Linked DNA regions of Mytilus edulis. The protein of the gene in region 3 interacts with the protein of the main gene of each other region in a pairwise test. Links are inferred from orthologs where the notes say so. Each region holds a gene or a part of one and is shown on either strand. Other genes may lie near its edges.

Region 1 (7,534 bases), on a different chromosome or scaffold from region 3:
AGTATACATCAAATGAAATGGAAGTTTTTAACGACCTTGACTGGCTATACAGCCCTTACACGGTCAATAGAAGTATAAATGGATATACTACATATTTAATATAATATGTCTGTGCTTTAATAAAAGTATGATTGTCAAAAATAATTTGCAATATATTTTTGTTGGTATATTCAAAGAAAGTTTTTATCCTTGAGGTAACATCCTTACATAATTTTGCATTCAATTTGTACTTTATTTCTATTTTAAATGATGGATAATATTTTAGGAGCACATTTTTGTAATAAGCTAAATCAGGGGAAGTAACTCACGTTTTAAAAATACGCAAATCATTTATGACCAAAGTCTGGAGTAATAGAGTTTATTAACAAATGTCTGCTTGTCCCTCAAAAGTCTCATAAGTCTGTGATGATTAAGTTATGATCTCTTAATCAATTAAAACACAAGAATCATGTACATCGATTAAATCCAATCATCAAGGTTAACCTCAAAAGGTAAATCGATCACGTGGTGTAAGCAATCTTCGTTGTCAGAACTGGATTGAACTGGTTTGAACTGGTCAATTTTCATCTGAAATTTTATACCACACGGGAAGGTTTACCGTTATGATTTTTTTTACCGAAAATTTTAGCACCACGGTGAAAAATTATACATCGCGGCAAGAACGATACCACCACGGTAGAAAATTATACATCGCGGGCCCGTGGTCCTTTAAAGGCCTGGGGAGAACACTGAGATGGATTCATGACAAAATTGTGTTTTGGTGATGGTGATGTGTTTGTACATCTTACTTTACTGAACATTCTTGCTGCTTACAATTATTATAATGAACTTGGCCCAGTAGTTTCAGTGGAAAATGTTAGTAAAAATTAACAAATTTTATGAAAATCGTTAAAAATTGACTATAAAGGACAATAACTCCTTAGGTGGTCAATTGACCATTTTGGTCATGTTGACTTATTTTCAGGTCTTACTTTGCTGTACATTATTGCTGTTAACAGTTTATCTCTATCTATATAATAATATTCAAGATAATAACCAAAAACAGCAAAATTTCATTAAAATCACCTATTCAGGGACAGCAACTCAACAACGGGTTGTCCGATTCATCTGTAAATTCCAGAGCAGATAGATCTTGACCTGATGAACAATTTTTATAGCATGTCAGATTTGCTCTAAATGCTTTCGTTTTTGAGTTATAAGCCAAAAACTACATTTTACCCCTATGTTCTATTTTTAGCCATATCAGCCGTCTTGGTTGAATGGCCGGGTCATCAGACACATTTTTTAAACTAGATACCCCAAAGATGATTGTGGCCAAGTTTGGATTAATTTGGCCCAGTAGTTTCAGAGGAGAAGATTTTTGTAAAAGATAACTAAGATTTACGAAAAATGGTTAAAAATTGACTATAAAGAGCAATAACTCCTAAAGGGGTCAACTGACCATTTTGGTCATGCTAACTTATTTGTAAATCTTACTTTGCTGAACATTATTGCTGTTTACAGTTTATCTCTATCTATAATAATCTTCAAGATAATAACCAAAAACAGCAAAATTTCCATAAAATTACCAATTCAGGGGCAGCAACCAAACAACAAGTTGTCCAATTCATCTGAAAATTTCAGGGCAGATAGATCTTGACCTGATAAACAATTTAACTACAATTTAACTCATGTCAGATTTGCTCTAAATGATTTGGTTTTTGAGTAATAAGCAAAAAACTGCATTTTACTCCTATGTTCTATTTTTAGCCATGGCAGCCATCTTGGTTGGTAACCCGGGTCACCAGACACATTTTTTAAAACTAGATACCCCAATGATGATTGTGGCCAAGTTTGGTTAGATTTGGCCCAGTAGTTTCAGAGGAGAAGATTTTTGTAAAAGTTAACGACGGACGACGACAACGGACGCCAAGTGATGAGAAAAGCTCACTTGGCCCTTTGGGCCAGGTGAGCTAAAAAGGCTTTGGATTTTTTCAATCGAAATAATAGCAAGCTGAACTAACTTAAAAGATAATAATTATAGACAAATCTCGTCTGTACTAGCCAAATTTCACAAATTTAAAGTTGTAAAAAATCATATCATGAATGATGGTTAATTACATTTTTTGGGTAATCAGTTACACCCCATGGTTCTATTATTTCCATAGGAAAACACGTGAGACATTCCAAAAATATATAGGTGCTCTTATCATTGGAGGAACATTACACAATCTGTCTACACACACATGGCGGCACGAAACACAATCTGAAATCCATCTGATGATATCTAAACGTATCGAAACGAAGTGAAAAATATCATGCACCGCGAGGGCGCTTACATAAGTCACTCTATGCTTCATTTCTGGTCGATATTCGCTACAGGCGCATGGTGCACATCCTTCCTGATTACTGCATTGTGGATATGAAGAAATCAGATAATGCACAAAATCACCAGACACTTAGACACATGGCGGATCACTGTTGTATGTGCAAACAGTTTAATGTTTACATTTTTTGTATATGTACTTGTATTTATTTAAGAATTGAATGCTTCTTTTTATAACTTTATTGGGGTGTAAAAGCGTTGACCGAAGTACATTTTGTATGAAGCGTGGAAGCGCTTCATTCTAAAAATGTGGCGCACACGGTGATTGCTTTTACAACACTATGAAGTTACATGTTATATTTAAAGTTGCTTTAACGAGTTCGTTTAAGCTCATGACTTATGTTGATTGTACATAAGAGACGACTTTAAAATAAAATGTATACATACTACTTGCAGTTTTTGAGGAAATATGGAAAATTTAAATATTTATCAATATCAGTTCATTGAATCATGAAATTGACGATACAAAGTCTTTACATTAAATTACTTTTACAAAATAAATGTATATTTTTTTCTGCCTATTCATACCTAATAAATGTCATCGTAAGCATATAAGGAGGACATTTCTTATTTATCAACCCGGATCGCCAGCTTGGCAAATCTTTACATTTCAGTTATCTTCTCCTTTTCTACTTCCGGAATTTCAAAATGTGACCAGTTACCGATATTGACTTACATATATACACAACGGACTGAATTTTAGATATTTATTAAGGGTCTGAATGGGGTGTACAGAATATAGGATATATATATGGAGAGGAAAAATAAAGAACAGCGAAAAATGAGCAAAAAAATAAAAAAATAATAAATAAATAAATAAACAACACAAAGTAGAATAATGGGGTGCAACAAAAGTAAATGTGGCAAATAAAAAAAAGGCAGTGGCTATTTGACCGGCAACGGTAAAATAGCAAATAATTGCTATTTAGCCGGCGCCGGCAAAATAGAAAAAAGGCTATTTTGCCGGCACTGAATAAAACGGTTGATTGATCATAAAATGTGCTTAGTAGAGAATTAAAAAGCTAAGTAATAAATCAAAATCATAAAAAAAAACGTCTCACTGGAATCAAAATGTAAGAATAATAATTAAATATCTAAATTAATAATTCATTTAAAAAAAAAATATGAAAAAATCCATCATGTACCTGTATATGACTTAGTACAAACCTTAAGACAAGTGGTATATTTCAAAAGAAAACTGTTACAGCATTCTCAAATGATTCACCTGAATATAAATATCAGAGTTGGAATAAAACTTTAATATTTATAAAGTCTACATTAAAACAAAAGCAGAAATTAAGGCCCAAATGACATTGGACTTCCAAAAAAGCTGATAAAAAAAAGTAATAATTTGTCAAGTTTGCCATTTCATAAGAAAAGTTCCAAAGAAAATGGATTCCTTATATTAGAATTAGCAAAAAACTCTGTTAATAACATTTTAATAACCAAGGAACAAGTTGAAACAAGACCTGACTTTTTAAGTGCCTCTTGTTTGGACTCAATTATAAACATTGATCTGATGAACAAATTTTGTCAAAAAGATGCATGGGAAGTTATGCAGAGCGTATTTAAAGAGAAAAAAAAATCCTATATACATATGTACACATGCCGCTGATTCAAAGGAAGACAGTGTAATGTGTAGTTCCTGTCTGGAGTAACAACATTTATCATGTGCTAGAATGAAACAACTTTGAAAGGCAAAACAATGGTTTTATAATAACAATTGCAAATGTTAAATCATCCTTCTATTTAAAATTCATAGCAAACAAGTTTTGATATTGTCTTTTTTCCGACGTAGTCGGTATAGTTTCGGTTTGTGCCCTTTGAACTTAAGGACGCTTATAACTATGGCAACAGAATACGCATGCTCGAAAAATCCTTTCTGTGATTGGAGAAAATTCTGTCATGGTGGGTGATTTGGTTGTGTTTGAAAAAACGTCTCGTTAATTATATCGTGATGGAAAGCAAGTGAAAAACTATAAATATTTGAACTAGATCTTACAAAGATTTATATTTTTATTAAAATAATTGTTTCTCCAATAGCTCTTTGCATCCATGACAGCTGTTTATTCGGGACAATTAAATATAATTTTTAATGTTTACTTTGTTGTACGAACGTACATGACTTTTAGAACGCACCTACACATGTGAGATTTCCGCGGGGTTTTGGTGAATGTAAACAAAAAGATACGAGGACCGAGAATACTGAACAAAAACAGAGAACACGTTATTTAAATGGTAAATCGCTTATTTAAATATAATCGCATATTCACAAAACAATTTGTAACGTTCTTTTGTTGTTAATTCATTGATTTTTAAATAGTTAGAGCATTGTTGTTCACAAGATGAAGGTAGTCAACGGGCGTTGCCACCAAGGACAAATTGTGTCAAACTATGCAGGTTTTCGGTGCACTGCAATCGCCTTCTTGTAGTTACATTCAGATGGAGATTTAATTAAAGAGGTCCTGCATCATGAAGTCATTGTGCTTCTGAAGGTTATCGAAATGATAGTTTTAAACATATACTCAAATTTAAATACGTCGGATATCTTTTTTAAAGATAGTTCTTGTTATGATGCAGTTTTACATAGCACTATTTTTATCACATGGCAGGATATTCAAAGTTAAACTCAGTATAGATTTTACACTAACAGATATCAAAATCAACTTTTTTATATATATATTTTAGAAAAAATATATTTAATAATGATTGTATTAATATTATTAATGTTTCATTAATGTATTAAATTTACTATTTTGCCGGTGCCGGTCAAATAGCCACTGCCCCCCAAAAAGGCATAAATTCTACATGTAGACTACAGAAAAAAAGCATTTTCATTAGAATTTTAAAGAATGAAAGTAATTTTTTTAAGCTAAAAAATGACATAAAAATGCAAAGAATCCAGATACAAGACAGTGGTTATTTCATTTTTTTTTATAATTTGGTATTCATTTAGATACCATTTTTAAAACAAAAACCAAACTACCAAAAAGAGATTTTAAACGAAACACATGTACAAAATACATAACATTAGTAGGGCTGTTAACATGTTACGATTGCAGCTGATCGAAATTATGTTGTGAATCGTTGACTATTTAAAGGTACTTGATGATATGGATGGGTGGTGCTTAATTCATTCCTATATATTTTTTATATTTTTTTCGCTCATTATTTATGTAATCATTTATCTTAAAAAATAATGGTTAACTTTATTTCATATTATTACCCAGTTCTTAAGTTTTTGCAGTCATTCTTTATATTTTTGCACCCATTATTCTCGTTTTTTCTCTAAAAAAAAATTGCCCATTTTCTGTTCTTTATTTTTTGCCCAATATTCTCTATTTAGTTAACCTCGCACTTGTCGTTGATCCGTGTTATCAGTGAATGTATCTAGAATGAGTTAAATCGTGTGAATATATGCCTATCTTGCTATCTTAAACACATTTCGATGACTACTCTATTAATGTTTACAGTGATTATATGATAATTTCTAACCAAGTTGACAAAATCAAGCTAGCTTGTGTAAAATCTATCATATCGTTATGTTGTCCAACTAGATTTACACATCTATCATTTAAATTTAGCTTAACCTTTTTAAAGTTTTCCTTCGAAGGTCTGGAACATTCTCATGGTAAACTTCAAAGGTAGACGTATTTTAAATGGAATAAGTCAATGGAAAGTACTGACCGAGAAAACTGTTTCTTACATGTGATATGTTTTCCACATGTGGAGCAGGATCTGCCTACTCTTCCGGAGCACCTGAGCTAGTTTTTGGTGGGATTCGTGTTGTTTATTCTTTAGTTTTCTATATAAAAAAGAAGATGTGGTATTATTGTCAATGAGACAACTGTCCACAAGAGACCAAAATGACACAGACATTAACAACTATAGGTCACTGTACGGCCTTCAACAATGAGCAAAGCACATACCTCATAGTCAGCTATAAAAGGCCCCGATAAGACAATGTAAAACAATTCAAACGAGATAACTAACGGCCTTATTTATATAAAAAAAAAAATGAACGAAAAACAAACATGTAACACGTAAACAAACGACAACCACTGAATTACAGGCTCCTGACTTGGGACAGGCACATACATAAATAATGTGGCGGGGTTAAACATGTTAGCGGGATCCCAACCCTCCCCCTAACCTGGGACAATGGTATAACAGTACAACATAAGAACGAACTATAAAAATAAGTTTAAAAAGGCTTAACTCATCAGATGGACAAAAATACAAGTGGACGTGGACGGGTTCTTATACATTCCGACACAAAAAGACAGCAATGAACAGATCTGAGAGTATATATATGTTGTGTCATGTGTACTATTGTTTGTCTGTTTGTCCTTTTCATATTTAGCCATGGCGTTGTCAGTTTATTTTCGATTTATGAGTTTGACTGTCCCTCTGGTATCTTTTGTCCCTCTTCTACTGTGAAATTGTAAATATGCAGATACTTGATGACAAGGATGCTTTTGGCAATGAAATCTTTGTTTTATATGGAAAAAAGATACCAATCTATTATATAAAAGTGTAGTAATTTTTATAAATTTACTGTTTGCAAAAGTATGAATCATTCTAAATACTAAGGATTTTCTTATCCCAGGCAGTTAACATGAGCCGTATTTAGCATAACTTTTTTTGAACTTTTGGTCCTCAATGCTCTTCAACTTTGTTCTTGTTTCGGCTCTCGAACTTTTTTTTATCTGGGCGTTACTGATGGGTCTTCTGTGGGCTTGGCGCGCGTCTGTCGTATTCAAATATAGGCCTGTGACTTTTTAATAGCTTTTATGTGTGTGTTTCCATGTCCTGTATGTTCTCCCATTTATTTGTATTGTACAAAAATGTAGTCCTATCATGTAATGTTGTCATTTTAATGTTATATTAAACATTGCCATACAAGCGGGATGTTTGGCTAGCCACAAAACCATGTTCAACCCACATTTTTTTCTTAAATGTCCTGTACCAAGTCAGAAAAATAGGTATTGTTGAATTATAGTTAATTTCTGTGTGTGTTGCGTTTTATTGTCGTGGTTCTCCTCCTATATTATATATGAGTGCTGTTTCCTTGGCAAGGGTTACGACCCACTCCCGTACTCTCCTTGGGTAGCGAGGTTGGCAATTATATCACATCTTCTTTTTTATATTACATGTTTACGGGGAAAG
Region 2 (7,172 bases), on a different chromosome or scaffold from region 3:
TTAACCAATGAAGAACTGAGATCAAACGAACCACATGTTGATTTTTTTTTTATACAATGGGTGCAGATAGGGATAAATTGAAGAAGAATTAGAGAAATGAGTATAAATAGTTTAGGGGTGGGAATCTCCACCATTTCCAGGTTCTCAAACAGGAGGATGTGTAGTGAACTCCCCCTATATATACTTTTCCCAACGGTCACATTGTATTGACTTTTGACATTAAAATTGGTCAAAAAGTAATTTTGAGTTTCTGTACAAAATATTTTCTGCTTTTTCTTTCTTTTACATATATCTTTTGCTTTTCAATTCTAGTGTTTATATTTATTTACCATGCATAGATGTATTTTTTTCACCTTTCTGGTTTTCTTTAGTTGATCGGCAAAACCCGGAATTACCCTTTTCCGCTTCCGGAATCGGATCCGATATTGTAATTGTCTGGCATCCATTTTGTTTTCAATGTTGTTTTTGTCAGATACGATTTTTCTCGAATTTACACATTATTTGTCGGCGGTTTTCTGTATAAAGCTAGCGGTTGAACAAAATGAACATCGCTGTCATGTATAATAATGAAGAAAATAAGTTTTAGATCGTTTATTAGGAGACTTTGGTAAAATAGTTTGCAAAATTTTTTTTTTATTTTCTTTCAAGTGGAATGTCGGTCGGGCATAGCTAGTACCAAGTCGAAAGTCCGACTGCAAAAGAGGAAGGCCGCAGACCTCGGACCACCGCTAATTTGAACCCCTATCTCCAAATTGAAAAGATACGAAAATTTCGTCTTCTGATTTGAAATTGCCGCCAACAGCATGAACAGTTGAACTTATATAATAGACTACTGATGTAGTTGACTACTGACGTAGTTGACTACGTATTGACGACACACAATATTCCTACGACTTTTGTCATTTGGGAAATCTAAACTACTTGTCTTTAGAGATTTTCAGCAATTAAATATTTCATACATTTGTTCTTTGACATCTTTGCCAAAAGCTCAGGGGATAATAAACTGCACAAGGATTCCTAATGTGCTCTAATTCATATGTGCAACTTTAAAACTTTGGGGTGATTCGAAGATCATTTAAGGTTTTTCTGATCATATTTTTTGTAATCCAGAATTAAATGTATGAAAAAACTGTCCAATTAGTTATAAATAACAAAATATCCAGGAAGATAATAAAAAAGGCATGCCTTTCAGCATTTATTGGGTAGAACACAAATCTAGGGTGCTCGCATAAGGCAGCTTAACTGCCTAAAAATGTAGAATGTTATAATTATGTTTGTGCACATTTTTATTTTATCTATTGTTAAATATCAAGATCAATTTATTGAAGTAGTACAAAATGTATGTTGTCATATTGTTGAGACAGCTACTTTGCATTAACACCATTTTCCAAGGATTAGAAGAACTATTTAATATCCAAAGGACATATTGATTTGTCTCGAACACATGATGTTATACTACTTAAAATAATATTAAAGTAAATAATTCTAAGATATAAGTTGTGTTTATTCAATAAAAGTGCAATTTAACTTCAGGCATTGTCAGGAAATCAATTAACATGTCTTGTATTAAGTTTATTTATGCAAATTACTTGTTGAAAATAATATGGAGGACGTAATTATTCAAGAGGTAGACAACTTTAAAAATTTCATACAAATTGATTTCTTGAAGATAACTTGTATTTATATTTCAAGAGTATTAACGATTAAAACGTCTCAGACCATATAATTTTACAATCTTAGCAGTATTACACCATATAAAATCATGTTTTGGGGATAAATTAATTATTCCTTGGGACAATAATCTTGTTCTTGTAATCCTTCGGAAATCGTTGTAAATGTACCTGCTACTTTCAATGAAGGACTCAATAGAGTGACTGTCACTCATCACAATACTCAGAGGAAAGCTTTTCCAGCTTTTAATTGTTTTTTAGTTCTACAGGATGGAATTGGGTATGAAAGTGTGTTCATGTTATGAGACTGTCTGATTAATTCCATAGTTTGTCTGTTTTTGTGATTGCAATGAGATGATGTACGGTGCAGTCCGGTGTATCCGCACACCTAAGACTTATGACTTCACTTCATTCAAGTGATAAAACCAAAAATTGGATAATTTTGTGTGAACACATTCATAACATACTTTTATTTCATAAAATCTTCTGTTTGTATGGTTACATCCTTTAGATTTTGTGTAATGTGTGTCCAAAATTAGGAAAACCCCTGTTCTGAGAGTTCCTCCAATGTCCGGTGATTTCGCGCATGCCTTCCAAAAATAGCTTATTTGAAATAAAGGAAAGATGTATACTACGAAATATAGCTGAGTTTGTACCAAACACACTTCCATGGATGCAGAGCAAAAAATATTTCAATCTGATATTAATTTGACTGAAATAAAACAAAAATAATCTGATGATGTAATTTTTTTAATGGAAATTGGCCAAATATGGTAAATCACGGGATTGCAGTTATTAATTAATTCTTGAACTTATCAATTTTATTCTTTTTTATCCCTTCGGAAGGCTAAAACAATAACAAGAACGATTTTGTATGTGTTACTGTGTTGACATGACGAAATCAGCTAATGCGCGATGTCACGGGCCGCGCCGACACCGGGGACTCCACTGTATGTGATTTGTAAACAGGCATAGTGATTGCTTTATTGTCTTTCTAAGTGGAACCTTAGCTCCAAAGTACTGGTATCACTTTTGTCAGGAGGTTGGCCTAGATTATTTTGCTGATTACTATCTAAAGTTCAATGAAACAGACATGGACAAATGTGTACACATAGGCATGACAGGCAAATTGTATGTTGTGTGTATACAAATGCCTCTTCACACTATATACACCATATTTCATGAGAACACAACTACCTCAATGACAATATAAAGCAGAACTTAAATGTGAATTGTATCACTTGTAAATGAACTAACATTTATCATTTCTATTTACAGGATATCTTCAAAGTTTTGTTGATGCTGACGTTTTTCGCCTAAGTAGACTAAATTCAGAACTTTTCCGGAACTTCCGGTTTTTTAATCCGGATGTACAGGGATGTCTAAAATATTTTGAAATATCAGACCTGATATCGATTTACTGGTTCAAGTATCAGGGAACAACCATTTCACTTCTAGGAGGGGAATATAGTTTTTTGTCTGACACAGAATTTTTGTTCTCTTGCAAATCAAACAATCTTTTAATTTAACACTATATTAGGTATAAAAAAAATCTGGATTATGATTTCAGAATATTTTTTGTCATCTGCTATTTTTTCTTCATCAAATTTGGGATCAAAATTTTTTTTTAGGAAAAAAACATACCTCTTTTTTAAGTTAAATAATCGTTCCCTTGTATGTCTCTGGAATATTGTAGCCTGGAGATCAGTTTTTGTCATGATTTTAAAGGGGAAATTACTCCCTTACGAAGTCTTGCTAGGTTAGGTGTACGTACATCAACATTGTAACTAATGTTGCCCGTGCAAGATTCTACCTTTCTATGTTTCTGTGTTTAACATTGAAAATACATTCAGTCAGAGATATTTAATACAATGTATTTAAATAAGTTATAGACCTGTATATGTTTCATTTTTATCCACATTGGTTGGAAATCGGGATCTCGGACACATCTTTTTAACTAGATACCCCATCGTGTTGCCCAGTATTTAGTTAGATGTATATGTTGTGTTTTTGCGTACTGTTGTTTGTCTTTTGAAATGTTGTCAAGTTTTTTTCTTTGACCGAGACTAAGATTTATCTGATCCACGTAATTGATTAAATCTTTAGGCTCATTCACATCTAAATCAGGGCATTTCTTAACACTGAATGAGTTCACACAATCCGATCGATCCATGTGTACCATCTATTTAAAAGAAGCTAGCATCCCCATCAAATGTTACGGACTGCTGAATTCCAAAATAGTAAAACGTTGTATTCTCCTGACTTCAGTTCAAAAAGGTGGTTTGTATTTGGAGCCATGCTCAACTTGAGGTGGCGTGAATCATATGTGGATCCTTAAAAATTCCAAAGATCTTTTAGAGTACATACAATCTAACTCTCTTTCATCTTGCAATAGTATTAAAACGGCTTTTGACTTTTCTACATTTTACACAAGTATTCCACATTCTAAACTAAATTGAAGGAGTTGCATGGTATTGCATTGTTTCATAAAAAAAAATGGCCAGCGTAGATACAAGTATCTTGTCTTAGGGAGGGATAAATCCAACTGTGTAGAGTATCACTCTGATTCAAACAAAAAAATATTCTGAAACTGACATTATCAAGATGCTTGATTTATTTATTGACAACATATGTGTTACGTTCGGAGGACGTATTTTTCAACAGACTGTCGGCATTCAAATGGGAACCAATTGTGCACCTTTCTTGCCGACTTGTTTCTTTATTATTATGAGACTGAATTCATACAGGAACTTCTTAGGAAGAAAGATAAGAAGTTAGCAATATCCTTTGACTCTACTTTCCGCTATATAAATGACGTTCTTTCGCTAAATAATTCAAAGCTTGGTGACTTACACTATGTTGAACGCATCTATTCAATCGAACTATAGATAAAGCATACACCAGATACAGTTAAGTCGGCCTCATATCTTTACTTTCATCTACAAATTGACAATGAGGGTCGGTTGAAAACAAAACTTTACGACAAAAGAGATGATTTCAGCTTTCCAATTGTGAATTTTCCATTTCTAAGTAGCAACATTCCAGCAGCACCTGTATACGGGGTATATATCTCCCAATTGATACGATATTCCCTTGCTTGCATTTCCTATCATGATTTTCTTGATAGAGGGTTGCTGCTCACAAGGAAGCTATTAAACCAAGAGTTCCAAATGGCGAAGTTGAAATCATCCCTTTGTAAATTTTACGGACGCCATCACGAGTTGGTTGACCGTTATGGAATAACCGTTTCACAAATGATATCGGATATGTTCCTTACGTCGTAACTACAATCCCCTTCCCTTTCATGAATGTGACCTACCGAATTAGACTTTTTACCGGATTTGTTATAACATAAGCAACACGACGGGTGCCACATGTGTAGCATGGATCTGCATACCCTTCCGGAGGACCTTAGATCACCCCTAGTTTTTGGTGGAGTTCGTGTTGCTTATTTTTTAGTTTTCTTTGTTGTGTCATGTGTTCTATTGTTTATCTGTTTGTCTTCTTTCATTTTTAGCCCGGCGTTGTCAGTTTATTTTCGATTTAAGAGTTTGACTGTCCCTCTGGTATCTTTCGTCCCTCTTTTTTGAGATACTAATTCGATCGATGTACAATGTAAATGCTTGCAATTCTTCAATGGATATATAGAGGATCGGCGAGTTCTGGAGTGGTGATACAGCTGACAGCGTTATTGGAATATCGTTCATGTTCTGGTGATTTAAGAAGCAGCTTCCATTTGCGTTTCAAGGATAGGTTTAAAACAAATTGGTAAGGTCTCGAGTTTATCAAATTAGATCTGTACGGTTTGATAGTTGCTTGCTCACTTGAATGTTTTGTTTGACTTTAAACTATTTTTGAAATAATTGAGAACAAATACTCTAGTTATCTTATACTTTGTAGAGGTAAACTTTTTGCCTCTTTACTTTACATTTGATTTTGGGCCAGTAAAATCAATGGTGGCAAACCCATTTTGTTCGAACATCAATCGCACAGTTGACCAAACTTTTCCAGGAGATATTGCTACAGGATCTCGATAAGTATCATCTATATTCTTGATAACTTGTTAGAAGAGTAAAATAAAATTGCTGTTTTCCCGAATGGTCTGTCAGGGATGTTTGAATTTGTCTTGTGAGCGATATAGCGGATCGACATTGTTTTAATTTGTGTGTCGTCGAGTCGACGAACATAGTTATCATCACCCGTGTTTTGTTTTCATGAAACAAAATAATATTTTCCCAACACATATCTAGTTCGCGTGGATCAAATATATCTTTGTCTTTATCTTAGTTCTAAGTGGGATTATATGCCATTGGGCTGCATTGGTAGTGGTATACTGTTCACTAAATCCAGTAAGATATTTGTCCTGGATGGAGATGAGACCAACGCTGTCTTTCGAGAACGTTTTGTCAAAATCTTTCTTCAGGAGTTGGTATATATAGAATGATGCAATGCGTTTTCAAACACATACAAAAAGTCTCAGCCCATCAAACTAAATCAAAAGAGATACTGTTCAGCATAGTGGTCTTATCGCATCCTGATTACCAGTAATCAATCAGTGAACTCATTTTAACAATCCTACATATCTACTCCAAATATGGTTGGCTAATACTGCCCAAATTTGATAAATGTGTAACAGTCAATGGTGTCTTTCCATTGTTTTTCCAATCACGAATTCCTTCAAAACTATGGACAGTCGACGGAAATGAATTTTACAAGATGGATGTCAAATGTGTGCTCCGAAAGCACAACATTAACATTTTATTCTATCAAAAAAGAGACGCGAAAGATACAACAGTGATAAAGCTCTTCATTAGTCGAAAAAAAACTCGATAATGCCATGACAAAAACCCAAAAAGATAGGGCTCTGCTACAAGTCAACAAAAAAAAAAGTCATCCTTATAATATATATATATGTTATGTATCTTGTAGTTGTTTGTACATGTGGTTGCGTAAATCTACGTCGATAAAATATTAATCAATTCATTACCTTTTTACGGGATTGTATAGAATGAAGATATATGTGATCAAAGTTTGGATCACCAACTTCATCATGTCTAATGTGCATGCGCGGTTGATGTCTACCCAAAAATGCTTCTCTTCATACGAGTCATCAATGTTGTTTTTAAAGGAAACCTCGAAGATCATATAAATAAAAAAACTCATGGTTAGAATATCCATGGAAGTATGATATAATATATATATCTGATCGTCTAAATTTCCCCTCACAAGAAAAGTGTAATTTTCAGAAGACACGTCTAGAAGGTACAGGTACCTTTGGTCGCATAAATCTATTCAATAGCATCGTTTAATCTCATTCTAGAGCACATTTTGTTTTGCACCTTTTCACGCTTTTGATTTCAGACCTACGGTGTTAATGGCATATAGTTTTGGGCTAAGTCCTTAAGGAAAAGTACTAAAACACTTTTTTTTAGCTTCGGTTCAGAATACAGGTATTGTATTCTTGTCAATTTGACGTTTCAACCTCAAGAGTTGATTGGATTT
Region 3 (7,006 bases):
AAACTGTAAATAAACTTGAAATTGTTATGAAGTGGCCAAACTGGTTCTTAGGGTGAACACTAAAATTTCAAAAAAAAAATCTTTAGGCCTGCGAGACGATTCAATTTGTGGACGAATACTGTTACATGTAATGCAGGGCAAGCTCATGTTGATTTGTCACATATATATGTTTTAATGGCATATTTGTCCAATTCTGTATTGTTCCTTCGATATTTGTTCACCTAGATACATAAAATTAACTGAAACTCGAAAATCAATACATTTTCTGAAAATTCAACATGACCTTGCCATGCATTAGATACATGTATAACAGAAGTCATCCATACCAATTTTAAACAAATTAAGTCTTCTCACAGATTTTTTAGAAAATTTAGTGTTCACCTCAAGAATGGGTTTGGCCACCACATAACAATTTCAAGTTTATTTACAATTTACACAGTGTGTATGTGTTAAGTATGTGTTAAGTATGTTTAAATGAACATATGTTTTCCTAGTTTAGGACTTTATTCATTATATATGTACATGTAGGTTGAACAATACAGGCATTGTTTAGATGTTTATTAAGTGTCCTATATTTTGACTTTAGTGGAACCTTAAGCTTAACCACAAGTTCTACAGCATTGGCTTGTAATAATGCTTTCAGGCTTGTAAAATTCTTCTCTACAAGCCAACTACACATGTACAATTTTCAAAAAATTGAGCTTTGGGCTTGAGAACTCAAAAGTTTAAAGTGAAGGTTGACCCAATAAGAATTACATATATAAGCACAAATAACAAGAACAGGACAGACACCCAGTATTTCTACATTTGTAAGTCTCCCATATCAAGCATCACACACGAGACATAAACCATTTAGACTAAGAGATCAGATATTTTGGTATTCCCCAGGAAACACATGTAGAAAGTTAAGGCCTAAAATATACCTCCATTTCCACAATATACTGACAAATTAGGGTAGGAAGCAATAGCATGAACAGTGCTCCAGCTAGAATTCAAAAGGTGCAGGGTGCCAGTGGAGGGCAGGGCACTTTTTTATGATAGAAGGCACTGCTTGTTTCTAATGTTTATGTCCCTGCGTGTATCACGAGTTCACATATTTTTTTACTGTATATATTGTCAATAAAGATGCATAAGTAGGTGTTATTATTTATTCTATAAAATTTGCATAAGAAAAGTCATTCATACTACATGTTCATATACATTTGTAACATGGCAATACACATTCATACTATTAACCAAAAGAGGAAAAATAAACTAACTATTCTCCCCACCCCCTCTCCTTCCAAAAAGAAAGAACATAAACTAAACATCTCATAGTTTACCATAGTTTACCATACATGTACATGACAGAGTAGTTGTATTTCAAAATTTTCATTGCTTGGCCCTCAAAACTTTTTTTATTGTTTGTGTTTAGGAATATAATATTTCGTGTAGCTTCATCATGTTGATTTGTGATGAGAGTTTAACTACACACTTCCATTTTTGTAAGTTGATAGCTTGACACCATTCAAACAATTAATTCATGCATATTTCTTAATTGAGAATGTATAAAACATGGATTGCCAAAAGTACAGTACATGTATGATTATCAAAAATAAATTGCAATATATTTTTTTTTGTATGTTCAAAGACAGTTAGTATCCTTAAGGTAACATTCTTATATAATTTTGTATTCAATTGGTTATTTTTTCCTATTTTTAGTGCTAGATAATATTTTAGGAGCACAATTTTGTAATAAGCTTTTTCAGGGGAAGTAACTCCAAAATTAATTTCCAACATGTTTACGTCTGCTCGTCGCTCACAAGTTGAGATGGACGATGTTTCTGTGAAGGCAAAGTTGATAACTTCAATTCAATTCTAAATTCATGAAAGTCTTCATTCATACACTCTTCGATTGTGACTTGGAGATCAAAAAGAAAATGCAGACACATTCATCATATTTATGACAAAAAGGTACATTAATTTGTCTTAATTAAATTACCTAGTAATTAACACCTTTGAAGTCTTATCCACAATAATTGATTGTAATGACATGATTAACCTCGTTACCTGGGGGCAATCACCAGGTGTCATATATGTAATTTAACTGCTGATAAGAAATCGATGAAACAAAAGGCAATTTTACCAAAACGGCACAAGGGTTTTTCAGAAAACGGCGTCAGGGCAGAAGGGCGCGGCTGAGGGCACACAGGGCGCGGCGCCCTTCTATTTTGGGCTAACGAGACCACTGATGAAGTAAGGAAATAATTTATGGCAAGTCTTAACAGAGGGAGAAATCAGACTACATGTAGAATACAATTGTTTAAACTGGCTGCATTTGTTTGCACCTGTCCTACATTTTGAAGTTGTCAGGAATCTGATGTTCAGTAGTTGTCAGTAGTTGTCGTTTGTTCATGTGGTTCTTAAGTTTTTCTTGTTTTTTTGTATAGATTAGACCATTGTTTTTCCCATTTTAATGGTTATAAACTAGTTATTTTTTGGGCTCATTGTACATGTACATGTAGCTTGCTGTTTGGTGAGCGCCAAGGCTCCATGTTGAAGGCTGTACTTTACCCTTAAATGGTTTACTTTTATAAAATGTGACTTGGAAGTCAAGTTGTCTCATTTGCACTCATACCACATCTTCTTATATCTAAACAATGTTGTACCTGCTTTAGAATGACAATAATAGTCTTTAACTTTAAGGTATGCACAAAAATGCAAAGATCTATCAAACCCCTCTGTTGACATAAGCATAGAAGGACACAAAAGGGGGTGTTTAAAATAGAAGTCTTGCTGCAAAAAATAAGTTTAAGGCAAGATAGCGAAAAGTATTTTCTATTGAGTATTGGGCCATAGCTCATTTAAACTTACCTGCAGCTTCACCAAGAAAAGCCAACTTAAACTTCAATAACGAGCTCCTGACATAATTATTGTTAGAGATATCCATTGCTTTCTGAGCAAAACTCATTTTAATACAATAATAAGGATGTTCAAATGGATTAAAAGGTCTAAGAACTTTTATCTTGTGTTATATCCTGTTTGTAATTGTTAATTTATGTGTCATTAAATGTGGTCTATAGTCCTAAAATATATGCTATATCATAAGCTCCATGCTGGCAGGTGATTGCCTATGATGAAATTTTATTTCTAGCACTTATAGTAATATTAGTTGCAATTTGTTCATCTAATTATCTTGAATTTATGTCGTGTGTCTGCATTAGTCAATACATTCCAAACAAAACTAGTGCATGCAATTTGCTTTTCCAAATACAATTTCAGTGAACGGTTAGGTCGCCAATTGTATGGAAATTAATATTAAATGAAAAATAATTTATTATTACAAGTGATGACTCAATGTGTGCATGACATGATTGGTTCACAACGAAGTCAAATAGGTAAACACGACCACTTCCGTTACCTCGTCATCGGAACTTACCACTTTGTTCACCTAGAAAAACTAATTTAAACTTCCTCAGCGGGTTCCCGAATTCCCCAGAGGAACTCATTGTGATATCTGATTCCTATGTAGAAATATAAAAGTTAATTTGTAGGTGTGAGTCGAGACTGTACGTTATTATTTAGCTGTCTTCTTTCAACTCGCCACGTTCCGAGTCTTCATAAATTACAGACATGCGTGTTCACACCGGAAATGTCAAATATTTCGTTCTGAAGGAAAGTGTTGCTTTTATTTTTAAACGACAACATATTCGGTCTTCTTCAACATTCCCTTTGTTGATTATTTTTTCTGTTAGTTCATCAATGTAAAATAACGAAAAATAGTCTGGATGCGTAAGTTTCAACATGAAAGTAATTTTTTGGTCTAGTTTCAAAAATAATTTTTTGAAATCAATATATCGAAAAGTTCCGACATAAGCCGGCGGCACCAGTCTGAGGTACATCAACTAGTTTACTAATTTGAGCAAACAGTTCTATCTATTTATTTGAATTATTTGTTCAACTGGGTGCACTTAAAAAAACATAATGGACATACATGTACATATGTTGTGTTTACGTCATTATTTCGTAAGAAACTATTTGGTTTGTTCTCAGTCTTAATTTATAAAATTCAAGCGGAACATATGAGACACAAAGAAACTCATAAGAAACTCGTTCGCCTTCTTTCTTTTTGAGAGTGTTACTGATAAAGGTAAGCATGATGAATTCATGAAAAAGCCAATTTGTCATTAACAATAAAATTGAGAATGGAAATGGGGAATGTGTCAAAGAGACAACAACCCGACCATGCATGGAACAGACAACAGCAGAAGGTCATGTATTGGCATTGTATACATACAGAGGTATACATTCATATCAATTCAAAATTAGAACTATTGGTTTAAAATATCGATTTACGCTGAATGTTAAGTCAGAAATGACATTTCTCTATAACAGTCTGTTTGGTTACATCTTCGTCAAATAAGACTAAAACATCACTTATATTTTATATGCAGTATATATACTCTTATCGGTCCTTAACAATAACTCATTCTAAAAGGTTACCATTTCAACACTGAGTGTATGGGGACATATAGCTGGAACACCCCCCCCCCTTTATCCTGGGTTAGGAATCCCCCCTTTTTAAAATGACTGGATCCGCCACTGAACACTATTGGTATATACATATATGCACGTTTATGGTTCTACTATCAGTTTCGATACCTGTTTCTAGACATTGCACGAGGTCATTTTTTTCTCTGACTCAGTGTTTATGACGTCTTTACACTAAATCCATCGAATGTTGGATGTGCACTGGATGATAAACGAGTCTTCTAAAGATGCATGATTTTTTTAGTTAGTTGTTATTGGCTTTGAACTAGCTGTCTGTAACTGCATGTACTCTCAGATCTGTACTTAGTGTCTTTTTGTTGTTGGGATTACAAATACCCGTCCACGTCCACTCCGTATTTTTGTTAGATGTATGATGAGTTAACCTTTTTTTCAACTGATTATCATAGTTTGTTCTTATGTTGTAAAGCGGAAGTGTTTTCCATAGGTTTATCCTTCTGTTTTAAACATGTGATTGTTTGTAATTGAACGCTATATTCCGGCAACCTACACAACCTGTGAAAAACTACATAAGAATTCATGAAATTGCCCATTTGTGTACCTGGCAATTTGTACTGTTCTACGACGTTTCAGAAATTTATACTTTTTTTCACAAGCGTAATTGAAAACTTCTTACAACTTTAACACTTGTAGCAAGCATTTATTTCTCATTAAAAGCTACGGAAAGGTAAACAGTTCCTGCTCCACATGTCATACGCGTCGTGTGGGTCAAGCAATTTCAAATCCAGTGACATGTCGTTTTCGGTAATGTCACAATTTAGGATAAGGGAATGGAATCGAAGTTCCAAAAAGCTCAACCGTGTCTTAATGGCGTCCGAAAACTTTCTAAGGTGTCATAAATACATTTTACAAAGTTCGCTGGTTGTTTCGCTCCGTCAGCACGTCTTCTTATCCTTATTTAGTTCTATCAAAACCTTAGATTTTCAACTCTTTAAACCCTTATTTTGAACAGAAAAATAATTTAAAAGAAATAATCCACAAAACGTTCAGTATGAAATTATAGCAAACACTATAGCATTAATTGCTTTGGGATACCATCCGACATGTTTGGTTAATAATTAACAAAAACTGAAACATACTACACCGAGGAACAAATGATCAGAATGCTTGATTTTCTAGTTGACAACATATTTGTTGAATTCGGAGGTAGACTTTTTCAACAAATTGTCGGCATTCCTATGGAAACAGGCTGTGTATCTCTCCTTATTTTCATACGAGTCGGAGTTTCTCCAGACACTTGTCAAAACATAGAAGACCAAAAAGCCAGATCATTTAATTCCATACTAAGAATTATTGATGATGTTCTTTCTGATAAAAATCCAAACTTTTTTGATACGGTTTCTTTGATATATCCACCAGAACCAGAAATTAAAGAAACAGCCTACACAACTTCCTCCGGATCACATTGGACATCTCAGTACCAGAAACTATGACATAATTTAAAAATTATAAAATTAATTTCCTCCACCAAAGCAGCAATTTACGAACTTCACCTGTATATGGGATATACATTTTTTTAACTCATTCGATATTCAAGAGCTTGCAGCTCTACTCAGACTTAGTAAAACGGTAATATTGTCTGAGCAGAAGGTTGACGAACTAGGGTTATGTCATAGAACGTCTCGTCCTTTAAAAAAACCCAGAAGATACCAAACCCTTGTTCATAAATATTCCATATCATCTTCACACATAACACACGATGGTCTTGAAGAAGAGATTATAGTTTCTGACGTTGTTTATAATCATAAAATTTTACGTGTTATAGTGTTCTTTTTATTTGTCTTTGTTTATTTTCAATCTTTGCTGTCTTGTCCATTTTTGGGAACGTCCCTTTAGTGTGACTCGGTATTTATACATCCATGCGTTGTGTTATTGTGTTATGGTATTTCTTTTGTATTCTTGTCTTTCATTTTTGCATATGTGCTTTGTTTATAGAGTGTATAAATGTCATTTTATTTTCTATTTTGACAAAATTCATATAGTGGTTAAGATTATATAGCATTGTACTATGTTGTACCCCAATTTTTGACATTTTTACCATTTATGTCTTTTGTATTTTTCTCACACGTTGTTGTCAATATAATGCAATTTTATGCGACTGTCATACAAGTAAGAAATGTCGCTAGCTATGAAATATGGCTTGACCCACCACTTTTTTACATAAATAAATGAATGTGTCAAGTCTGGCATATGATAGTTGTTTTCCAGAAAAGCGCTTCGGACGCAATAAATTACAAAACGTGTTGTTTTCCATTTTTTTTTACATCACTGGGTCGATACCTCTGCTGGTGGACTATCAGTCCCCGAGGGTATCATCAGCTCAGTAGTCAGTGCTTCGGTACTGACATGATTTAACAAACTTGACTAAAATTGTCTGTTTATAAATTTTGAAATTATTATGAAACTTAGGCTTCAACTCCCTCAGGCAAAGTTGGCTTTAGATGAATTTGGCTATTTA
Region 4 (7,977 bases), on a different chromosome or scaffold from region 3:
TTATAGAAACTTCTACCAGCTCTAACTCAAAATATTGAGAATTCTGTGTTAAGGGGGTCTAAAATTCAGTTTGACAGCTTCAGAAGTAATAAAATTTGACCTTTTTGAACTGGACCAAATCACTTCTTAACATTAAGATTCAGCACCCAAATTTTTTTAACATGTAATTTCATCCCCTTACTTAATATTTCATGCATTAAATATCAAGAAATATATTGGAAAGTGTATCAAATTAAAAATCAAAGTTATACACTGTTCACACTAGGGAGTCACAACGGAAACCAAAGGACGATAACTGTGTCCTGGGACCTACTGGCACAAATGAATGTAAAATCAGAAATATACCGACTAATTTCAAATTTGTGAATTTTTCCATATATTATTGAATGTCATAATGCCTTTGTTATTTCTTGACAATGATACTAAAGAGGGGATTGTTCAACATGCTCAATGACTTCATTTATGGCAATTGATCATGACTTCAGCTTATATCACTGCAAAGAGGTTCTATGTAAGCTTGCACCATCATCAACTTTTAAAGTGTTCGATAATATACCAAGAGTTTAATGAAATGTCCTTACAAAACATACTTACAGTCATGACAGTTTTATGTATTCTTTGAGATTAACATATTGAAATTAGCCTGAATTAATTATGTAATTGATGAACAGTGTAGCAGTGGGGCCTAAATTAAAATATTGTTTGTTTGCCCTTTTCCGACCCTATGTTTTGAAACAGGGTAGGTAGGTAGGTAAAATATTTTATTTTTTTCCCAAAAAAAATAACTAGGCTCGGTATATTTTTTTTCATGGGTAGGCAGGTAGGTATAATATTTTATTTTATAGATACAAAATGAGGGAGGGTAGGAGGGGGTCCTGATCCCGAAATCCCGGGCTTAAAAACACGACATCCCGAAATCCCGTGCTTAAAAACACCCGATCCCGGAGTCCCAATAAAGGTCCTATCCCCCCTCCAAAATCTGCATAATGTCATTTTTGCTTTTGCTAATAAGTTTCTGGGACTACGTTTTGAAAAAAAATATCATGTAGAATGTGAAGTTAATTCATATGCACTACTATTTTGTTTTCAAATATCAAAATATAGAGCTGTGCCGCATATTTTCAACATTTATATATGCCTGGAACTTTGAAGAGTTTTAACTTGCACTAATATTCTGTACTACGTACCTTGTACGCTTACCTCTATCTAAAGGTTTTCTGTAAGAGATAACTTTGTCCTGGTAAAATATGTCCGGGCAGACATACATTACTAGTAGAAAAGGTCCCTAGTGTTTAAATTTCCGAGTGTGCCTATGTTTCCAATAAAAATGCTACAAGACTTAAACTCAATTGTCACGTATTTTACATCGCATTTATAAATGATCTGTATGGAAAACTTGGGCGATTTTACTGCCAAATATTCTCCACTTTACAGGCTTTTGTCATGTCAGATATAAATAATATAGCAATGCTGGTCGAAGGCATTGTTAACATAATCATCCTTATCTACGGATCACAAAAGGCCATCCCTACATAGAATACAACGTCCGTTTACTCAAAATAGTTTGTACACACGTTGATAATTTTGTATTAAACAAACTTTTTTGTAAATGAACCCTGCTCTTCAAGTATAAAGATACAGAGTTAAAGTACGTCATATCATGATTTCAAACTCTAACTGCAAGTGTGCATGTAAAACGCTCACGTGATACCAAACGGACTAGACCTTATACGATAAAGATAAAACCCGAGGATTGCGGTAAAAAAGTTTTGAGCGGGAAATACAAATATAAGATTTTTTGTAGGAACGAAAAAATAAAATAAAATAAAATCTTGCTGGTAGATACAAATAAAAGATTTTCAGGCGGAACGAATTTATAGGGTCGGTCGGTAAAGGGCAAACAAACAATATTTTAATTTAAGCCTGGTACAAGTTTGCTTAAAGCTTTTAGTAGTACAAGACTACAAGCTGAAATTGGTAATCATGAATGGTACAGGATATGTATCTTACACCAAAAAATTATGACGTCTTGAAAGGCTGAATAATTTTTAGGCAGTGAAGTATTCTACTAAGCGTATACGTAACAGCAAAAAATTAAAACAGTCTTTAAAGATGTCATAAATTATAAGGGGATGAAGTCCCCTATTACAGTAGAAAAATAATAAATAAAAAATTTAATTTCCCGCAAAAAAAATCTTCTTCTAATGAACTCAAAATACAAAATGTAGTTCACATTTTTTTTTAGATTTTTAATTTTCCTGCATCTGCGGAGAAATCTACTTACATCTTCAAGTTCGTTTTTCATGAGACTATGAGATAGCGTTTTTTTCGTTTACATTGAATATAACGTCATACATTTGTAACTTAAATAACGTCACAACTATTAAAAATCCCTAACAACAGAACCAAAATAGGAAACGTTATGGTATTATCTGTGAAAGGTTATGGTATTTCCGTTTCTCTTTTAACAGATTTTGAAGTTAAATTATGTGTGAAATAAAAAAAATTAAAAAATCATTTAGACTTTGTCCCCTTTCACAGATAATGCCTGCCTCATAATCATATTATAATTATTAAGACTTAAGTTATCTGTACAGTCTCTCAGACTCAGAATTCAATACAAAAGTTATATCTTTAAAGTTCTAAGCATGGCTTAGTTTGTTTTCTTTTTATAGACCCTCGTCCCTCCTCTAATTGGAGGCTGTTCCTGAGTGCCATATGCAATTTTGATACACATGTATGCCAGTGCCAGTGTTGATCAAGTGTTTTTTTGGAGGAGGAACGCCCTACAGGCGACTTTTCGTATTTAACTGGCATAAAAAGTTCAAAATAAATATATGTCACAAAACATAAAATTCTTAAATAACAAATATTACCTACACCAGTAGTTTCCTTCAAAAGTGAATCAATTCATCAAAATGTGTCAAAATTCTTTCCTGGTGATTTGTTTTGCTTCGAGAATTTTTAGTCTCTTGAGGTTTCTCATTCTGAGGGATAAACCAAGAAAATATCGAAAATATTTTAAAATCATTCAAACGTTTGTAAATTATATCTAAATTTAGAACCAGCTTCGATCAACATAATTCCGAAAGTATATCCAATGTATAAAAAAATATACAAGAAACCTGGGGACGAATGCATTTATTTATCTTTTAGTTCAAGAAGATACATATAATACCTCATAATTGGAGATCCTTATTTTCTAATGTTATTTCTAAATTTCACTATTCTTTATTTTGTTTGTCCATTATTCTCTATTCTATATATTTTACTGCGGCACCCTCCGAGGGCACCCTACCAGTTATTCTCCATACATTATTTTTGGCCTATTTTTCACTATTCTGTATTTTTGCACACCCCACCAATCCTTCATAGTTTACAATACATATCCATATGATATTACAATAACAGCAGTTAACTGTTAAAAAGTATATAGGATTTTTTTCTGAGACAAGTGCCTGTGGTTACAGTATAATACCTAAAAAAAATAAAATAAAAATGGGGGTTCATGCATTTCCAAAGCACCTATGTTATTCATATACTATTTTTTTTATGTCGCGTTGTTAATTATTCAATTAATTGTAAGCATCCACTATTTTCCGGTTTAATGTCTTAAGTTCATTCTTCATTGGATCTTCAACAACACTCAATCACTCTGATTCAAACACAAAATTCTCTAAAACTGACATAATCAAGATAGATGCTTGATTTCTTGATTGACAATATACTTGTTACGTTTGGAGGATGTGTGTTTTCAACAGACTGTCGGCAATCCAATGGGAACCAATTGCATGTGCCCCTCTTCTTGTCGATTTTTTTCTTTATTATTATGAGGCTGACTCCATACAGGAACTTCTTAGGAAGAAAGATGAGAAGTTAGCAATATTCTTTAACTTTACTTCCCGCTATATAGATGATGTTCTCTCACTAAATAATTCCAAATTTGGTAACTATGTTGAACGCATCTATACCATCAAAATAGAGATAAGAGATACAACAGATTCAGTTAAGCCTGCCTCATATCTTGACTTACATCTAGAAAATGACAATGAGGGTCGATTGAAAACAAAACTTTACGACAAAAGAAATGATTTCAGCTTCACAATTGTGAACTTTCCATTTCTATGTAGCAACATTCCAGCAGCACATGCATATTGAGTATATTATGTCCCAACTGATACGATATTACCGAGCTTGTATTTCCTATCATGATTTCCTTGATATAGGGTTGCTGCTCACAAAGGAGCTTTTTAAAAAGAGTTCCAAATAGTTAAATCATCCCTTCGTAAATTTTACGGACGCCATCACGAGTTGGTTAACCGTTATGGAATAACTGTTTCACAGATGATATCGGATACAGAGGCGGATTTAAGGGGGGCAGGGCCCCCATTTTTTGAGAAAAAAATTGGTTGATTATATAGGGAATCACTGAAGCGTGACGGGAGCAGGCCCCCTCTTAGGCAGGCAGTGCCCCCCCCCCCCCCCCCCCTTATGAAAATTTCTAGATCCGCCACTGGGATATGTTCCTTATGTCGTAACTACAACCCACTTTTCATCACGGAATGTGACCTACCGAATTAGACTATTTACTGGGTTTTGTAATAATGAACCTGAGCAACACGATGGGTGCCACATGTGGGAGCAGGGTGTGTTTACCCACTTGATATCACCCCTAGTTTATCATGGTGGGGTTCGTGTTGCTTAAGTCTTTAGTTTTCCGTGTATTGTGTCTTGTGTACTATTATTTGTCTGCTTGTCTTTTTTATTTATTTTATAGCTCCATGGCGTTGTCAGTTTATTTTCTATATATGAGTTTGACTGCCTCTAGCTCTTTTTACGTGAATTCTATACGAGGCGCTCAATTAAAAATGATTATTGATTGATAACATAAAAGCAAGAAATACAAAAAAACAGAGGCACTTGAGGTCTACACAATTTTGAATAACTTACAAATTTTGCTTCATATTAGATATTCATGGTATTCTTTTAGATACAGAAACATCCGTGAAATACAGTTACTAGAGATCGAAATACTTCTATTACTTTTCTAAATAATTAAATCTTTTCATTTCGCTGGCCTGCTGCTTTTTTACGGAATACTATACGCCGATATTTCCGCTTTGCTACTATGAACGGCGAGCTTTTTACATTTTAGAAATCTAGTCAGTCCATTCCTGGGGTAGTTATAACTGTTGCTTCTCTGTTTGCAGGATTTATTAAAATCTTTTCTCCGCTTGAATTGTATTTAGTTTTGTTTCTTTGTGCTAGCCAGCTGATCATCTTGTATAGTTAGGTGCGGTGTGCTTGCATCTTGCGAACCGACTCCAGTCCGGATGGTCCAACACAATACGTAAAGTGCAATAATTGATAATATGATAACCCTGTCTCTATTTGTATTCCCTTTCTTAAGTTGTCTAAAATTGTATGTGATGACCAGAGTAAAGACATCTTAGTGTACTAACTACAGTAACACAATTATAGAGCCATGGCAACAGTGTTCTTTTTACTTATGTGCAATTTGTGATGTTATCAGGTAGTTGGTTCAAGTGGCAGTTATAGTTCTTGGAAACAATATACTTGACAGTCTGTACTAAGGATACAACCCCGGGTGCATGATGGAATAAGAATGATCAAGAATGTCATGTTTTTCAAGTTTGTGTGGACTGATTGACTTTATCCTTATCTACATGTACCAAAGAAAATAAAGATAGTTACTAACTTATTTAAAAAAAATCTTAAACTGTCGTCGAGATTTATATGTGCATTTATTTTGTAATATTTTTTTTGTATGCTAGAGTTATGCTGCCAGTGTCAGTTTCAATCTAATTAAAAACCGATCTCTCATCGCTCCTGTTTCTGATATGTCGCGACATATCAGAAACAGGAGCGATGAGAGATCGGTTTTTAATTAGATTGTGTCAGTTTAAGATAAATATTTTTTTTCAAATTCAAGTATATTTTACGGGATAAAGCATATATGATAAACTTGTCATTGCATAATGCAAGTGTACAAAATACATTTCATTTACAACATGTTTTTATATCATGAAGGTTAAAGCTCATCAGAGCTTATGTATAAATGTTTGTCAATATGAAATAATCTTACTTTATCAATATACGGAATATACACATAGTTTTATCCGCTGTTGTTTTATATATTCGACTCTCCATTTTAAACACTTTTTAACCCTGATCAAGCCGCTATTTCCACATTTTTATTTTTCAATCGGCACGATGTCAGACGTACCAGAAGGATGGGAAAGGAAAATAAGTCGCTCAAATAGTAATTTATAACAGAATTTAACTAGCAAACTATCATTTAAAATTAAGATCGATCATCCCAATCACGTTGAGTCACGAAATTTGGGCTAACACTCACTCTCGGCCCTAGTCCAAATAATTATGACATCTTGAAAGCTAGTCCAAATAATTATGACGTCTTGAAAGGCTATTATAATTTTTTCTATGACGCCTTACTTCGACGTAAAAGAAAAAAATTAAAATAGCCTTTCAAGACGTCATAATTATTTGGACTACTTGAAAGCCTGTTATAATTTTTTTCTTTGACGCTAAAAAAATTATAATAGGCTTTCAAGACGTCATAATTATTTGTTCTATCTCCGCCACATACAGTGAAACACTGTCACTGACCAACAGAAACTGATTTGTATGTAATAAACGGGTGCAGGTCGTTTCGTAACCTGGTCGTTTCGTAACTAGTCTATTTGTAACTTACTAGGTTGTTTCGTATCTGAGACATTTTGTAACCAATATCAATATATAATAATAATATGAGTCGTAGGTTACTTAAAAAATAATAAAAAGACCTATTGGTGTACCATGTATATTTATTTATTAAATAATTGATTGCACCTAATTTTACACTTTACAAGTACAGTTTTGCACATATGCGAATAGAACAGAAGAATTTAAATTGTCCATCATCATTTAGATGTACCCCGTCTTTATCAAACTATTTAGTCGTCTGCCACGTGCTGTGATGTCTTCAATACTTGACACCACTCATCTTTATGTTGCTGAGTTCTTTATTAATCTTTTTTTTTCCATCATAAGGTTTCTTTCATGTTTCTTGTTTTTAGTCTGACGATATTGGAGCCTATAACTACAGAAAGAACACCAATTAGCCAATAATTAAAAAGATTTAAGAAAGTTTTAAATTAAAAACATTACAATATTGTTTTTATTAGATGAAAAATTTGATAATCTTTTTACAATCCCAATTTGTGACAAAACCTCAAATTTGCTACTCAAATAAGTGATTTAAAAATCACTTATTTCAGTAAGTCCCCTGATAGTCCAGTCGAATTGTGAAAAAATTGCTCAGAATGTGGTAAAAGCATCAAACTTTGCAGAGTGTTAGTTGAGGTCATAACTAACATTTTTAGCTATGGACCCAATTTAGAAAATCAAAATGGCGGCTCTGGGCGGCCATTTTGAAATCATGTCCAAAAAAATAATAAAAATAATTAGAAAAAATATGAAAAATATATTTCTTTACCAATTTTGATAAACTTTCGTATTTCTTATGACAGAGAATATCAACTGAGGACTATTGAAGCATTTAGTGGCCATCTTGAATGGTGGCCATCTTGGAAACGTAAATTTCCAATATATCATTATTCGCTATCCTAAAAAAAAATTTGTATTAATATTAAGTTTTATTTGCATTTACAACTAGTTTTGCTAATCATTTATTTATGACTGTTAATATAGGATATATTCACCAAGTGCTCAAATAAGCTATGCGTATGTAAACACGGTTAACAAATAAATGTATGTAAAGAAATACGTACATTCTTTTAATTGCAGTTAAGCATATAGGGCTCAGTTACATGTTTACCTTCAAAAAATGTGTATATACAATATGAGTTATGACCACTGTATGTTGAAAAGGAAAACTGCGTAGCTATTACAATCACTGGAGCTGAAAAAAATAATAAAAAAAAATAGACTGGA

What was found.
Region 1: the proteins of ras-related protein Rab-6A (region 3) and golgin subfamily A member 1-like interact in a two-hybrid assay, tested with the Drosophila melanogaster proteins (2 studies listed by BioGRID). The link is inferred for Mytilus edulis from reciprocal best matches to the Drosophila melanogaster genes Rab6 and Golgin97.
Region 2: the proteins of ras-related protein Rab-6A (region 3) and TATA element modulatory factor-like interact in a two-hybrid assay, tested with the Drosophila melanogaster proteins (2 studies listed by BioGRID). The link is inferred for Mytilus edulis from reciprocal best matches to the Drosophila melanogaster genes Rab6 and Tmf.
Region 4: the proteins of ras-related protein Rab-6A (region 3) and ecotropic viral integration site 5 ortholog-like interact in a two-hybrid assay, tested with the Drosophila melanogaster proteins (2 studies listed by BioGRID). The link is inferred for Mytilus edulis from reciprocal best matches to the Drosophila melanogaster genes Rab6 and Evi5.

The regions. Positions count from the first base shown.
Region 1 is NC_092345.1:62,728,958-62,736,491, reverse strand, and holds the start of golgin subfamily A member 1-like, read right to left. Parts: upstream 3,018-7,534; 5' UTR 2,894-3,017; intron 1-2,893.
Region 2 is NC_092352.1:9,448,125-9,455,296, reverse strand, and holds the start of TATA element modulatory factor-like, read right to left. Parts: upstream 3,012-7,172; 5' UTR 2,928-3,011; intron 1-2,927.
Region 3 is NC_092346.1:48,057,573-48,064,578, forward strand, and holds the start of ras-related protein Rab-6A, read right to left. Parts: upstream 3,021-7,006; 5' UTR 2,951-3,020; coding exon 2,854-2,950; intron 1-2,853. UniProt on the Drosophila melanogaster protein: Protein transport. Regulator of membrane traffic from the Golgi apparatus towards the endoplasmic reticulum (ER). Mediates membrane trafficking during egg chamber growth and organization, possibly upstream of exocyst component Sec5.
Region 4 is NC_092345.1:76,065,488-76,073,464, reverse strand, and holds the start of ecotropic viral integration site 5 ortholog-like, read right to left. Parts: upstream 3,017-7,977; 5' UTR 2,877-3,016; intron 1-2,876. Other genes in the region: putative peptidyl-prolyl cis-trans isomerase dodo, read left to right, coding at 6,235-6,283. UniProt on the Drosophila melanogaster protein: Functions as a GTPase-activating protein (GAP). During border cell migration in the ovary, acts as a GAP for Rab11 and is necessary for the maintenance of active receptor tyrosine kinases at the leading edge.